Linked DNA regions of Arabidopsis thaliana. The protein of the gene in region 3 interacts with the protein of the main gene of each other region in a pairwise test. Each region holds a gene or a part of one and is shown on either strand. Other genes may lie near its edges.

What was found. The genes of interacting proteins can lie anywhere in the genome.
Region 1: the proteins of AT1G63360 (region 3) and AT5G66830 interact in a protein complementation assay, tested with the Arabidopsis thaliana proteins (one large-scale study listed by BioGRID).
Region 2: the proteins of AT1G63360 (region 3) and AT5G59940 interact in a protein complementation assay, tested with the Arabidopsis thaliana proteins (one large-scale study listed by BioGRID).

The regions. Positions count from the first base shown.
Region 1 is NC_003076.8:26,689,274-26,693,216, forward strand, and holds AT5G66830 (F-box protein (DUF295)), read left to right. Parts: upstream 1-1,979; 5' UTR 1,980-2,030; coding exon 2,031-3,215; 3' UTR 3,216-3,416; downstream 3,417-3,943. Other genes in the region: AT5G66820 (uncharacterized protein), read left to right, coding at 346-1,837; AT5G66840 (SAP domain-containing protein), read right to left, coding at 3,649-3,943.
Region 2 is NC_003076.8:24,135,561-24,140,010, forward strand, and holds AT5G59940 (Cysteine/Histidine-rich C1 domain family protein), read left to right. Parts: upstream 1-1,664; 5' UTR 1,665-1,851; coding exon 1,852-3,807; 3' UTR 3,808-3,923; downstream 3,924-4,450. Other genes in the region: AT5G59930 (Cysteine/Histidine-rich C1 domain family protein), read left to right, coding at 1-936.
Region 3 is NC_003070.9:23,497,958-23,504,027, forward strand, and holds AT1G63360 (Disease resistance protein (CC-NBS-LRR class) family), read right to left. Parts: upstream 4,365-6,070; 5' UTR 4,213-4,364; coding exon 1,558-4,212; 3' UTR 527-1,557; downstream 1-526. Other genes in the region: AT1G63370 (Flavin-binding monooxygenase family protein), read right to left, coding at 5,248-5,427, 5,520-5,693, 5,766-5,901, 5,993-6,070.

The sequences.
Region 1 (3,943 bases), on a different chromosome or scaffold from region 3:
GTACTACTCTGCTTCTTCTATCACTTACTTGTTCTGGGTTTTAGTTCGATGTTTTCATAGAACAGTTTTAATTCAAGTTTCGCCTTTCGCTATCAATAGGAATAGTTCCTTCCTCTTTGTCTTTTTTCTGTTTATAGAACTATTTCTTGCTTCTGATTTCTTCAAATGACATTCTCTCTTTTGGGTACTATTCAAATTTTCATTTTGTTTTAACCCTTTTTCATTTTTGGGTGATTTTTTTTGTTTCCTAGAATGTTTATAGCTTTTTAAGTAGTTGGTGAATCCCCAAATTAATTTCATTGTTTGTTAAACCTCTCTTATGTGTTTGTGTTTATGTGTTAACAGAGGAGGAGCATTTGGTTCATCAAAGGCGTTTCATTGTCTTCTCCTTCTCTCATGTCTATTGCTTTCATCAGTCAATACATTGCATAACTTAGCTGAATATGGTTACAACACTGGTTCTGCTGCTATGGAGTTTCAGGGCTTTATTAATGGTGAAGATTCTGGGAGTGTAGCAATCCAGAAATCTGACCAGAATGTTTGTCCTAGTTCACAGCTGTTTTGTTTCCTTTCAGCTTTAGGATCAGAGAATCGGTCTGATCCATTTGTGTTGGCTTGTCCCAAAGAATCACGGAGTAGCTCTGCTCTGATCAGAAAAAATCTATCTGGTGTTGTGTGGCTATCTCTGAAGCCTGTCCACATCATAGAGTTTCAGCCATTTACTGGATTCTTTCACATTGGAGACACTTGTTACGAGCCTATGTCCAAAGAGCTCTATACTAAGAAGACCACAAGGGAGTTAAGTATTACGGTTTCAGGAAAACAATGTGGAGGAAATGGTTTTATGGTGAACCATCCATGTGAAGGATTTTCATTAGAACCAGGGGATTCCATAAAGTTTCTCTTTTTCTACCAGAGTGAACTCTCTTGGGCATCTGGAGTTGCTGTTTTTGCAGTACCTATGAAGGCGACCGCACCTGTTTTGATGCTTAGTCTCTACAAAAAACCGGTCTTTTGGGTGCGGACGAAGAAATTCGCAATTGCGGTTCTTATTGCTGCAGCTCTACTCATTCTGATATTTTGCTTCAATGATCACTTCATCGAGGAGAACAACAAGAGAAACAATAGCAACCACATGGAGTCGAGAGAAGTTGAGAAACCATCTACGATCACAATATCCCCTGAAATGGATTCTCTGCTAAGATCCATAAGCAAAGAAAGCCTGCAAGTGTTCGATGAGGTTCCCAAGAACAGCAGCAGCGTTAAGCCAGTTGCTTCTTCACACGAAGAAGAAGCATCAGAAGCTGTGAATCTCACTGTAAAGACAGCGAAAGACAAGAAGAGGCGCCGTAACAAGAAAAAGAAGAAAGGAGGAATCAACGGATTAACACCAGAGTGCACAGATGTTTCAAGCAGTTACAGCGGAAACTCAACTCCTAGGTCTCCAATATCACCAGAACCACCTACTACTCAAGCCGCAACGAAGCTAGTAAAGCCTCCTACTAAACCGGTCCTATCGCACTCAGCAACGTTTCCGGTTTCAGGGGTTAAGTCAATGATCATACAACGAAGCTCACTGGCTCCAAATGTGAGAGCACCTGGAGCGAAATCAAGAACCGAAGTGAAAGAAGAGAAAGCGAAAGAGTATAGGTACTATGATATCTGGGGAGATCACTTGACAGGGCTTAATTTGATGGATAAGTTAAAGGAAGTGAGAGAAGGTAAAAGCTCAGGTTTTGATGGAGAGGAGTGTGAGAGTTTCTTTGTTAAGGGTCCTCAGAACTTGTTAGCAGACTCTCACACCAGGTTTGTAAGTTTCTGTAACCAATGGGGCTAACAAAGAAATAAAGAATGAAAAACAAAAATATTTTATATAATAATGCAAGGCCCAATGGGCTTTCTGAGCAGCCACCAAGCCATTCCATTAGTGAGATATAAACACAAGCAACGTCAAACCTAAATAATGAATGTCACGTAGACAAGTTTCGACGTCTTTATAAACTTGAAGGGCTTGGTTAAGATTCCGTCCTATGGCCTCTCCGCTACTCCCTGGTCCACCGGATCAGAGAAGAAATCTCGATTGGTGCTGGTCGAAGCTTCCTTCAGATCTCATGCAATTTGTATTTGACCGCCTTGGTTTTGCCGATTTCCAACGTGCAAAATCCGTTTGTTCATCTTGGCTTTCAGTTTCGAGAAATTCTCAGCCAAACAATCAAATCCCTTGGATGATTCGATTCCCCAAGGACAACAATCACTGTCTCTTGTTCAATCCTGAAGAGGAAGACAAGATGTACAAAACTCCAAATCTCGGCAACGATTTCGCAAAGAGCTCTTGTATCGCCAGTTATGGAAGCTGGCTTTTGATGCAACCTGAATCAGAATACATGGAAGAAGACTTAGACCATCAATGTAATAATCTCTATATTCTTGATCTTCTAACCCGCGAGAGAATCAATCTACCGATTCTCCAACCAGAGTTTGGACTCACATGTCCGATATTATGGACCGATGAGAAAAGCAAAGATCACCTAGTTATTGGAATGGCTCATGAAGAATTAGCCATTTCTTTCAAGAAAGGAGATTCCTCGTGGAAACAAATCCCAACCTTGTCAGGTATCGAAGAGTGTTTTAGCATGGTTTTTAAGGATCACAAACTTTACTGTCTGAGCAATTATAAACTCAAGGTCTTCGATTTCTCTGGAGATATTCCGGTCAAAGTTTTCAAAACTAGCGTAAGTAAGTTGTTAAATAATCCACTATGTATTTCCATGAGAATGAGACTTCCTGGAATTCCAATGAAGGACCAGTTGAATCACTTCAAGGATGATATGGTAGTCACTCTAGCCGGACATGTCTTAATTGTTAAGTGCCATCGTCCGAGTCTGTCCAAGATATGGAGCTTTGAAATCTACAAGATGGAAGGGAACAACAACAAGTGGGAGAAAACTGTTTCTCTGGGAGACGAGACAATTCTTTTGGATTTGGGTATCACAGTGCTCGCCAAGGACATGCAAGGGATCAAGGCCAATTCCATCTACTTCTCCAATCCTACTCCTTATTTTAAAGATCAATATGACGAAAACGAAATCTTCATATTCGACCTCGATTCCAACACCGTTGAACAACCGCACCGATCTGTTTCCTCTTCCTTTCCCCGCTCTAGAGCCCGATGGTTCTTGCCATGTTTCAAACGAGAATCATACTTCCTTCAGTAATTTGTCTTTTTTTTAATGTATCTACGTATTCTTCATATCAAGTATTGCAACATTTAGTAATAAAGAATAAAGCCAACAAACGATACTTGCCATATAGAGTAATAATTAAGCCAAGAACACCATCCTTGATTACAAGGTAATAACTTTTGAGGACGGTCTCGGACCCTCAAGATGAGAGTGAAGGCAAAAAATCACACCCGTAAAAAAAAAAAAAAAAAAAAAAAAAAAAAAAAAAAGAGAAACGGATGATCAAGAGAATCATGAGCCTAGAAAACTTTCTTACGAATCACAGACAAGGGTTGAGAACCGATGATCAGGACGCTTTCCTATGGCCTTAGAACCTGGAAATTGTGTTGAAGTAAGTTTACTTGCAAAAGAGACAAGTACCAAGTTTGTATGATGATGAAAGATATTACTCACGAGGTACGGTGTGTTATCGATAATTTGGTCTGTGATTGTCTCCTTCTCTTCTGTTGTTTACCATGTACAAGTCCCTTGCCCCATGGTTGTAGCTACTATTGAAGTTGGAATGGTAGGTCTGATGGTTCATGTATGGCCCTTGAGTGACCTCACTCTGCCTGTATGTGTCTCCTTCTCTTCTGTGGCTTATCATCATATGCGAGAAGTGTTCCAAGTCCCTCACTCCCAGGTTGTAGCCACTGTTCGAGCTGACATGGGGGTTCTGGTATGGTCTCCTCTGATGAGTAACCGGCACAGTGTGTGTATTG
Region 2 (4,450 bases), on a different chromosome or scaffold from region 3:
CTGGAAGGGAAAGCTGAGAATATTGAGGATATTGCGCCATTTAAGGTGGTTGGGGATGACTTGATTCGTCATTTTAGTCACAGCAAACATTCTTTAAGACTCCACAAGAACAATATCATTTATGATGATAGTACACGATGTGAAGCATGTGGCCATCCAGTCGAATTTGGTCGAATATACAATTGTGAGGAATGCTGTTTCATTCTTCATGAAAAGTGTGCTAATCTCCCTATGAAGAAAAGGCTTGTCTTTTCTACCTTACCATTCCTATTACTGGGACCGGGTAATGATGTTTGCAAGGTTTTAGATTGCAAGTTATGTGGAATGTTTTTTACTGGTTTCGAGTACAAGTCCCAAGAAAGGAGGCAAAGCGATATCGATGTACATTGTGGTTCCCTTACGGAGCCGTTCGTCCATGATGGCCATTTACATCCCTTATATTTTGATCAAAAGCAAAAGGAGCTTCCTTGCAATGCTTGTCAAAAAACCATAAGAGATTATATGCTTTGTTGTGCTGATTGTGACTTCAATTTGTGTTTATGGTGCGCTAGTCTGCCAAAAAAGATAAGGCATAGCAACGATGAGCACATTCTCACGCTATGTTGTGGTGAAGAAGCAAATGGAAAATATTGGTGTGATATCTGTGAGGCAGAGTTGGATCCAAGTAAATGGTTCTATACATGCTTTGGTTGTGGAGGCACATTGCATGTGGAATGCGTACTAGGAGATTTCTCACGTCTCATGCCAGGATGCACCATTGACTACCGGGTATATACCGTGGAGGTGGTTTTCAATAATCACAACACGCGACCAATGTGCAGCCGGTGTCACTCTCGATGCAAGGTTTCTGTAATCCTTAAGTTTCGTGAGGGTAACATTGTATATTTTTTTTGTTCACGTTCATGTTTTCTGATGCATTTCTCATATTATCTGTGAGGCATTGCTACGATTTTTCATGTGAGAGGAAAAGGCTTTGATGTTTTATTCTAAATTGATGAGTGTATCTTTTACGGTGGTTTCTCAATTCTTCCCCTATTTAATCTTATGAAAATTATTGGTGTGATACATGCGAGAGAGAGTTAGATCCAATTAAATCGTTCTATACCAGTAAATCGATCGATACAGTTACTTTGGAGACTTATGTTATTGTTCCCGTTCATGTTTTGTGAAGTACTTTGCAATAAACCGGTGGATCTTTCTTGGTGGTTTCACACTTGAAAAAATATTCGCGGTGAACCTTTATTTACCGCTTTTATTCCAGTTAATTAGAATTTGTCACCTAATAAAAAAAATTAAATTTATTTAATTATAAAATCTTTTTTGACAGACGGATAAGACCATGTTTTACCTGATTTATGGGCGGGCGGATAAAACCATCACCGCCTGCCATTGAACATCTTATCTGTCATGACTATTCTCCATTCACTAGTCTTTTTGAAGAAGCGAGAGGAGGAGCCCCTTTTTGAACAACTACTTTTGACAATCAATAGAAATCCAAAAGCTAAATCGATTCATATCAAACAATATTGCTAAAATATAATATCGAACGCAACAATAACAACTACAGCATGTTGTGCAATGTAATATTTCTCGGAAATAGATAGTCAATGCTATCAAATCATGATTTATAAGTTTAGAATATATATCTAAAAAGTAAAAACATATTTCGGATCAAATTCGAATATTTTGATTTTGACTTTAAAATAAAAATATTACAATCCTGATCTGGAAACTCTGTATCATATTTGTTGGAAGTTGGATGGGATCAAAATTTCTCTAACCTCCACGTTCAGCTTCCATTTCTCCTAAAGAAAAAGAGAAAAGAAAGAATCTCATTCACATACATCATACATGGATACAGGAGCAGTAAAGCTACCCATTCACGAGCACCCTATATTTCCTTCGGCTCGGATCGTTTTTAGTACATGTAAAGGCTGCGGTGTAGAAGATTTCGTCTACGGCGGGTACGTCTGCAATGATTCTGACTGTAAAGCTCGGTTTCATAAGGAGTGCGCTGAGGCCCCATCTGAGATCAGCCACTCTTTCCACCAACAACATCCTCTCTTTCTCACCAATGGCCTGGGAGATCTTCCATGTGATTTGTGTGGACAAAAGCGATTGGAAGCCGCTGGTTATAGTTGTCCCACATGTGAGTTCAAGCTGGATTTGACTTGTGGGATAAACCCATCACCGCCTGCTATTGAACATCCTATCTGTCATGACCATCCACTTGTCTTTTTGAAGAAACGAGAGGAGAAGGCCCCTTGTGAAGTTTGCAAGGATTCTATTGGTGGACCTTCCTATTCTTGTCTTGGATGCGATCTGTACTTCCACGTGGATTGCGTCCATCTCTCAAAAGAGGTAAATCATCCTTGCCACCCTAGTCATCCTCTCAAGCTCATCGCATCTGAATCACTTACGGATAATGCTGAGAAGATTTGTCTTTTATGTGAACAACAACCAGAAAATATGCTTTATTATTGTTCTGTTTGCAACTTCACATCATGCCTTGGTTGTACTAAACGCCCACCACCTCTTTTTATCGAGCATACCAAGACCCACAAGCATCAACTTACTCTCTTTCTAAACGGAATTTCATATCAAGGTTCCGCGCTGACATATAACAGCAGAGCTTATATGTGCCTTCCTTGTGGTTTCGTTGTCAATGGGAATGGTATCAACCTACCTCAAGTCATAAACATCAACCGTCACGACCATCGTATCTCTTACACTCATCAGCTTGGCCCTGGATATTTGAACTGCGGAGTTTGCCGCGAAATTGTTGACAGGGATTGTGGGGCATATGCTTGTGTCGTTTGCAGTAACTATGCAGTTCACTGGGAATGCGCAGTACATGATAATGTATGGGATGGTGTGGAATTAGAAGGGACATCTGAGATCACAGAAGATATTGCACCATTCAAGGTAATGGGTGATAACTTGATAAGTCATTTTAGTCATGAACAACATACTCTAAGGCTGCACAAAGAAGGCATCATTCATGACGCGTACGCACTATGTGAAGCATGTACATATCCGATCGGATTTGATCCGATCTACAGTTGTGAGGAATGTCATTTCATTCTCCATGAAAAGTGTGCTAATCTTCCTATGAAGAAGAGACTCGTGTTTGCAACCACACCATTCAAATTAGTGGGAGCAAGTAGTCGTGTTCGTGATGTGATAGACTGTGGGTACTGTGGTGAATGTTCTACTGGTTTTAAGTACGCATCTCAAAGAGGGTGGGAGATAGATGTACATTGTGGTTCTCTTTCTGAGCCGTTCGTTCATAATGGCCATTTGCATCCACTATATTTTGATTCTAAGGAAAATCACTCTTGCAATGCATGCCATAAGGTAACGGTTCATATGCTTTGTTGCAATGCTTGTGACTTTGATTTGTGTTTAAGTTGCGCTAGTTTGCCATTAAAGATAAGGCATAGAAACGATGAGCACCCTCTCACTCTATCTTGTGGTGAAACGGCGAATGGAAAGTATTGGTGCGATATATGCGAGACAGAGTTAGATCCAAGTAAATGGTTCTATACAAGCTTTGATTGTGGAGTCACATTGCATGTGGAATGCGTACTAGGAGATTTCTCACGTCTCATGCCAGGACGCATGGTTGATACTGTTGGGGGAAAGAAATTTTATGTGGTTCTTAACAATCACAACACTCGACCATTATGCAGCATGTGTCGCTCTCGATGCAAGGTCTCCGTCATCTTAAAAGCTTGTGATGAAGACAATGTATACATATGTTCTCGTTCATGTTTTTCTGATATGGTTTCAGCTAGATCATGTTGATTGAGTGTTTAATTTGTTTAATTTTGTGTGGAAAGGATGAAACTTCGATACCCTTTATATTTTACAAGATGAGTGAATTATTCATGGTTGCATTCGCTAGCTGCCCTACAAGTCCAAATTCAATATCTGATTTTAATTTGAACTTCTTTACTTTGCTCGTCTTGCAACATAACTGAGTTGTGATTTAAATTCTAATAGATACTGTTAAGGGTTTCCATGTCTCTATATTTTATCTATATAAAGATATGCCTAAGAGTTTATAATTCCATCACTCATAAGATTAATGCAAGAAAATATCTTAGAGACTACAAGGTTCAAAGATATTTGTTTATTCTTAGTTATGTTTTCTAAGATTTCTCTAAATTTTGCCCGAATTCACAACACAGCTTTAATTATCATTATACTCTTCCAGTTTTATCTGTAAGAAACTAGAATGCAATCAGACTCATTGTTATGCGATAGCATGATCACTTATAGTTATGAAAATCATTGTTATACGGTAACATATTGAAAATATTGAATTGCTATACACCGAATGGCCAAGTATATATAACCAAGGTAAAAATATGTCAAAATAATGGCTTCGCCCGGGTTCGAACCGGAGACCTTCAGTGTGTTAGACTGACGTGATAACCAACTACAC
Region 3 (6,070 bases):
CGTTAAAATAACTTTCCTCTCTTACATTTGTAAACTCAATTGTCGAAATATAACTTCCTTGGGAAAAAGCTAACACAACTGATAGTTTTGCTTTCAATTGTTTCCAAAAAAAAAAAAGAGAGAGAAAATCTTTTAGCTTCGAAATCACCGGATACTAAAATTGTAAAATCATCAAAACTTTTAATGACAGAGTTACATTGGCATGCCTTGAATTGTCGTTTTGGTTTTTTTTTAATCAAAACTGTGTTAGATAGTCTTCTCCTTCGCCACGGAACACACACGTTGTAGTGAAACAATATGAGCAATCATCACACTATGAGTTACACTATGCCATCACATTTCTCAATTTGTTGTGGATTGTATAGAAGACCTAATTAAGCTGGGGAATTAGTTTCGAGGGAAGTCTTTGTCTTCCATTAGCGACGACGGGTACATTTACTTGTTAACCAAGATTCGAAGGTTAATTCCATATATATTGGTATATAGTAGTAACAGAGTAGAGACAGACCACATTCAAACACACAAATCTGTTTAAAATAAAAAGTGCCGAAGCATATACTGTTTGTAACAAACATTTTATCCAATCTGAAAAGAATTAAACAAACAAAACTGAGTAATGAAACTATAAACACTTCATTAACAGGAATTTGTAAGCGTAAGAAAAGTCCCTGATTCTTCACTTAAACTAGCCTTCTCTTTACTTATTATATCTTCTAGAGCTAGTCAGAACATTCAACATCAATATATCTAAGACTTGGAGCAAAGATCAGCCATGTAAACTCCCTAGGCATTTACAATCTTATACATACACATCAGAAAGACTCAAGAAATTATTGGATTGCGCAACAGAGAACTTGTGTTGCTTTGAATGCACGTCATATCAATCTTTATCTCAGATGATTCTAGTTGAAGACTACTAATCTCTAAATCTCGTGTACAGCTCATAAGCTTAAGATGAGAAATTAAAAATTGAACCAAACCTGAATCATAAACCAATTCTTATGGTTAAAATTTTTAATCTTTCCAAAACTAGCAACTCCTCCACTGTGTTGAGGTCCAATGAAACATCAGAACCTCACAGTCTCAATACTTTCAGATCCAAACATGCCTTTTCAGGGATTGAGTACTCCTACAACTGTCTTTTCTTTCTCATGCCAATAGCTATCGAATTATTAGTATCAACTAGTTTTTGCAAGATCATAATTAGAAATCACAAGACTCAGAATCGTTGATCCACATCCCAATCAATTTGCATACATTCATCACTAACTAGTCATCAAAGTATGTTTCATGTGGAAGGCAAGGACTATAAAAAGAACTCACATAAAGCAATAATACAAAGTGTGATACTGATTACACAGAATGCAAAACACACAACAGAGAGATAAGCAGGTAGAGAATTCAGCAGAAAGCAACAAAGAGATAGAAAGTTTCCATTTAGAACCCAAATGACATTATCAACTTCCAACTTGCTCCCTTAGTAAGCAGCCTGGGTCTCTGGATATATTTTTTTTTGGAAATATACTCAAAAGTAACAGCTGACACAATCCTTGAAAATCATTTAAGAGAAATCAATTGGCATGAAGGTAAGAAGCGTTTTTTCGTAGCTTCGTCTGCCCATTTCACACCTTCAAACCAACGTGAATCTTTGTTACGTATGATGCATCCATTTTCACCTTGCTTGCCACTTGTGGAATCGAGTGGAAGCTTTCTCAGATTTGGACATTCCCTTATATTGATTTCTTCTAGACATAGAAAGGGTAGAGGTCTCCAATAGATCTTCTTCAGCTTCGGTAGATCATGTAAAGTAAGAAAATTCAGCTCTGGAAAAGGAAGAATCCCCGATTCTTCACCTTCACAAGCTTTCTCTTCGTTTATTATATCTTCTAGGTCTTTTGCATGCCAAACAGAAAGAGATCTAATCTTTGGAGCAAAGATCAGAAACGTCAATTCCCTCAAGCCTTCACAATTGAATATATTCACATCGACGAGGCTCAAGAAGTTGCATATCCCTCCCATCTTAATCTCAGAGATACTGCAGCTCTTAATTTGAAATTCGCGAAGCTTGTCCGTAGATACTGAAAGTGATTCTAGATGTCTATTTAGTGAGGATACAGAAGATCCATAGATCTCTAGCAATCGTGAATGACTCAGCAACCTATGGGAGCTCAAAAACTGCTTCGCTCTTGGATCGATAGTTGTGGTTAAAATTTCTAAATGTTCCAAAGTTTCCAGCTCCTTCACTGTGTTGAGATCCCATGGTAATCTAGAACGAAATAATTTCAGAACTTTCAAGTTATGCAGACTTGATATCCCAGTAATGCTCTCAAGCTTCCTTGTATACTCCAAATTCAAGTGAATTATTTTCTTCAACTCTTGTATACCCTTAGGCAAATGACTTATCTCAGTATATAACAAGTTGAGATATTTCAAGGAAACTAGATTTGATATTTCTTCCGGCAATTCAAAGAGACTTTTATTATGCGATAGATCCAAAACAGCTAGCTTTGGCATGCAATTGAAGAATTCACTCGAGATCGTTTTTAATTGACTCCGAATACTTCCATATTCTCGCTTTCCCAGGAGCAAAGTTGTGAGTTCCATACATTCATAACTACCAACGAGATGATGAATCTTGTTCTCCATCAATGACATCCTTCTCACAACATTCCAATTCTTAATCTTTGGAATTTCACGTACGCCAACACCTGCACGCACAATGAAGGCCTCCTTTTGTATTCCCAGTTCAGAAGCGATCCATAAGGCCATTTCACGAACAACGTCATGCATACACACAGCACGTCGTCCATCCCCATCATCCCACTCCATCAACAATGATGCGCGAACAAGACAACCTATAATCTCATAACCCTTGTCCTCAGCCTTTTCTATACCTTCACTTCCATCTATAATTTCCTCGCATATCCAATGCTCTATCAAATCTTCTTTCAGAATTTTCGCATCTTCTGGATATAAAGCACAATACAACAAACTCGATTTGACTTGCTCCCCCTTAAGGTTATCGTAGCTATACTTCAAAAGCGGAAGAACCTTATCCTCCATGCCTATAAACTCTGCAGCGTATGAATTCAAAACATGTATAGCGTGACGCCATTCTTGTATCGTCCTTTTGCATGACATGGTCTCGCCTATGACGTTGAGCGCCAATGGTAGGCCACAACATTTTTTCGCAACTATTCTTGCAAGTTGGGGGATCCCCGGATCGCTTCCAAGTGTTGTTTGTCCAACCTTCTTTTGGAACAAATCAAATGCCACATTCTCTTCCAAGCATTGGACTTCCATTGGATGTTCGACCCCCATGCGTGCACATACCTCTTGGGACCGAGTCGTAAATGCCAATTTACGTCCTTTTTTGGTTCTTGGATCCGGAACTCCGATCTCAGCTAAATCCACCTTTTCCCATATGTCATCTAAAAACAACACAAAACTCTTTTCCCTCAAGATATTGTATAAACAAATCCCCTTTTGACTTTTATCTTTCTGTGTCCACTCATCTCCACCAAGACCAAGCTTTTGAGCGATTTCATCTTGAACCTTCTCCACATGAAACTCTTGAGACACGACAACCCAAATGCCAATATCAAATCCACACTTATCCTTATTGAACATATTGTAGAGCTGAGTGAGAAGTGTTGTCTTCCCTACACCGCCCATACCGTACATACCCATAATACCAACTCCATCTTCCATGAGATGTTTCCCTGCCTTATCGAGCATTGTGTCTTGACCAACGATTGTCGGTTGAAGAGGTCGTTCCTCAAACGCAGATGTTGAAGCTTGCTCGGTTATCACTCCAAAAACTTCACCTTTGAGTTTCTCAACCTCCCTCAACCTCAAGAAAACACTTTTCCCATAACGATAGCTCCTCGTTAAACTCTTAGAGCAAAACCGGCAAAGACACAGCCTTTGAATTTCAACATTTCTATCTCTAAGAAGAGTAATGATTATGTCTTCGACAGTCGCAACACTATCAAGCCATACCTGGAATTCGGAAAGCCTTTGTAGACCTCTAGCCTCCTCTCTTTTGAGCCTTCTTTCCAAATCATCCCGCTTAGCCTTGAGCTCTTTCATGGTTTTCTCCAAAGCTGCGAGATTCTTCTCGAGATTGTGAGTATAACTTACTTTCATGTCTAGCCATTGAGAGACTTTATTTACACACGGATCAAAGGGTATCGAGAAAGAAATACCCATTTTACAGAAATTGAGAGATCTGAAATTTGAAATTTAGTAATCTGAGCAAACGTACTAGAGACGATGCAAATAATAATTGAAGATAAGACTTACGTTTTAGTCCACTCGAAATAAGATCAAATTCTCTCGTTCGAGTGAGTCCAAAATATGAGATACTTTGCATGGTTGAGAAGCATAACGACCTTCTCAATTTGGTAAATCGTGGCGGCTATTGACCTCTGCTGGGCCACACTATTTACTAAGTCTCCATTGGCTTAGTGGCCGAATGACCTGACGTTAAATTAATTTTCCTCTTACATTTGTAAAAAACTTAAAGATCAAAAGTCGGAATAGAATTTCATTGGAAAAAAAGCAAAGTAAAACCACTGATAGCTTTGTTTTCAATTGTTTCGAAAGTAAAAGAGAAAAATCTTTTAGCTTCGAAAACGTCGGATACTGAAATTGCAAAATCATCAAAACTTTTAGTTACTTTGGTGGTGAAAGCCTTATTAAGAAAAGAACTACAGTACAGTATCTCTTATCTCTCAAACAGTCAAATCAATGGATTATCATTAGTAGGCTGCATTGGATTGTGTTGTACGTTATACTTGTTCGGCAAGTCTTGTATACGTTTACCTTTGTGTATACGTTGTAAAACCATCTATCAAAAACACAGAACATTCAACATTCTTTATAATCGAGTCAAGTTTCAAATGGTATCATTCATCAGAGCAGTTCTTCTGAGACCTAAAATACGAGTCTATTGTCGTCTTGATCTCGAACATTGAAATTTTTTCTTAAATTTTGTTTTGTAATCTTCGCTATGAGAGTCATAGTATTTGCCAGTGCCAGCGACGATGATATAACACCACCGACAGCGAGAAGCAGACCATCGTAGTTTCTGAAGATGTAATAGACCGTGGGATACATACATTGTAGACGCCAGAGCTACATTGCCTGGTGCGCCTAATGTTTTACAATATGTCTTTTACATTGAATGGCAGTATTGGCATTTACAAATTCGGTAAATTTACTTTCATGTATAAAATGTTTTGTTTATGAGTACAAAGAGAAATCTTGATAAGCTTCAGAAACTAAGTGATGATCATCCCATTCGTCTCTATACGTCTCAGGATGGGCTTCCTTCCTAACACCATTCGCCAAACACATCTCTTTCCTCCATTCCTCTGTTTCTGAGCATCCGCATTGTGAAGCCAACCAATTATCATACTCAAACTGCAAACAACAAAAAATGTCATTGATGTGTTTCTGTTTAGCTTTGGTTTATTTTATTTTATTTTTATGTGCGGAAACTTGGGATTTTAAACCTGAGTATTGCCCATACGATGAGTATATCGCTTTGGAATCCCTTGGACTTCAAGTGTGGAGTAAAAGGTTTTGATTTCTATCATCATATCTTCCTTGGAAGGAAGCGGGATCCGACCCGATAAAACACCCGCGATCCACTTGCTTTGCAGCTCAAACATAGGGAACGGTAACACCTGAAATCCGATTTGTTATGACTTAAAATGTTGAGGGGAAACGTGAAAAAGAGCAATTTATAGGTATGTAACCTGCCATGGTATACCGATGAAGGAAAGCCAAGGTGCAAATGCTGGAGGGAAGACGTCTTTGTACAATGGCCCAACACGGTTATCATCTACAGTGACAATTCCATTGGTATCAAGAAACGGAAAATGATACTTATACCTACGAAAAGTAAAGCGCTTTGTCAAATAACCACACCATGCATGATATATGAGAAACTAAACAGAAACTAAACTAAAGAAAGAATGTATACCCAGTGCAATGCATAATAATATCAACCGAAATCGTCTTCCCGTTCTGATAAACAACAGAGCCATCCTCATGAACACTC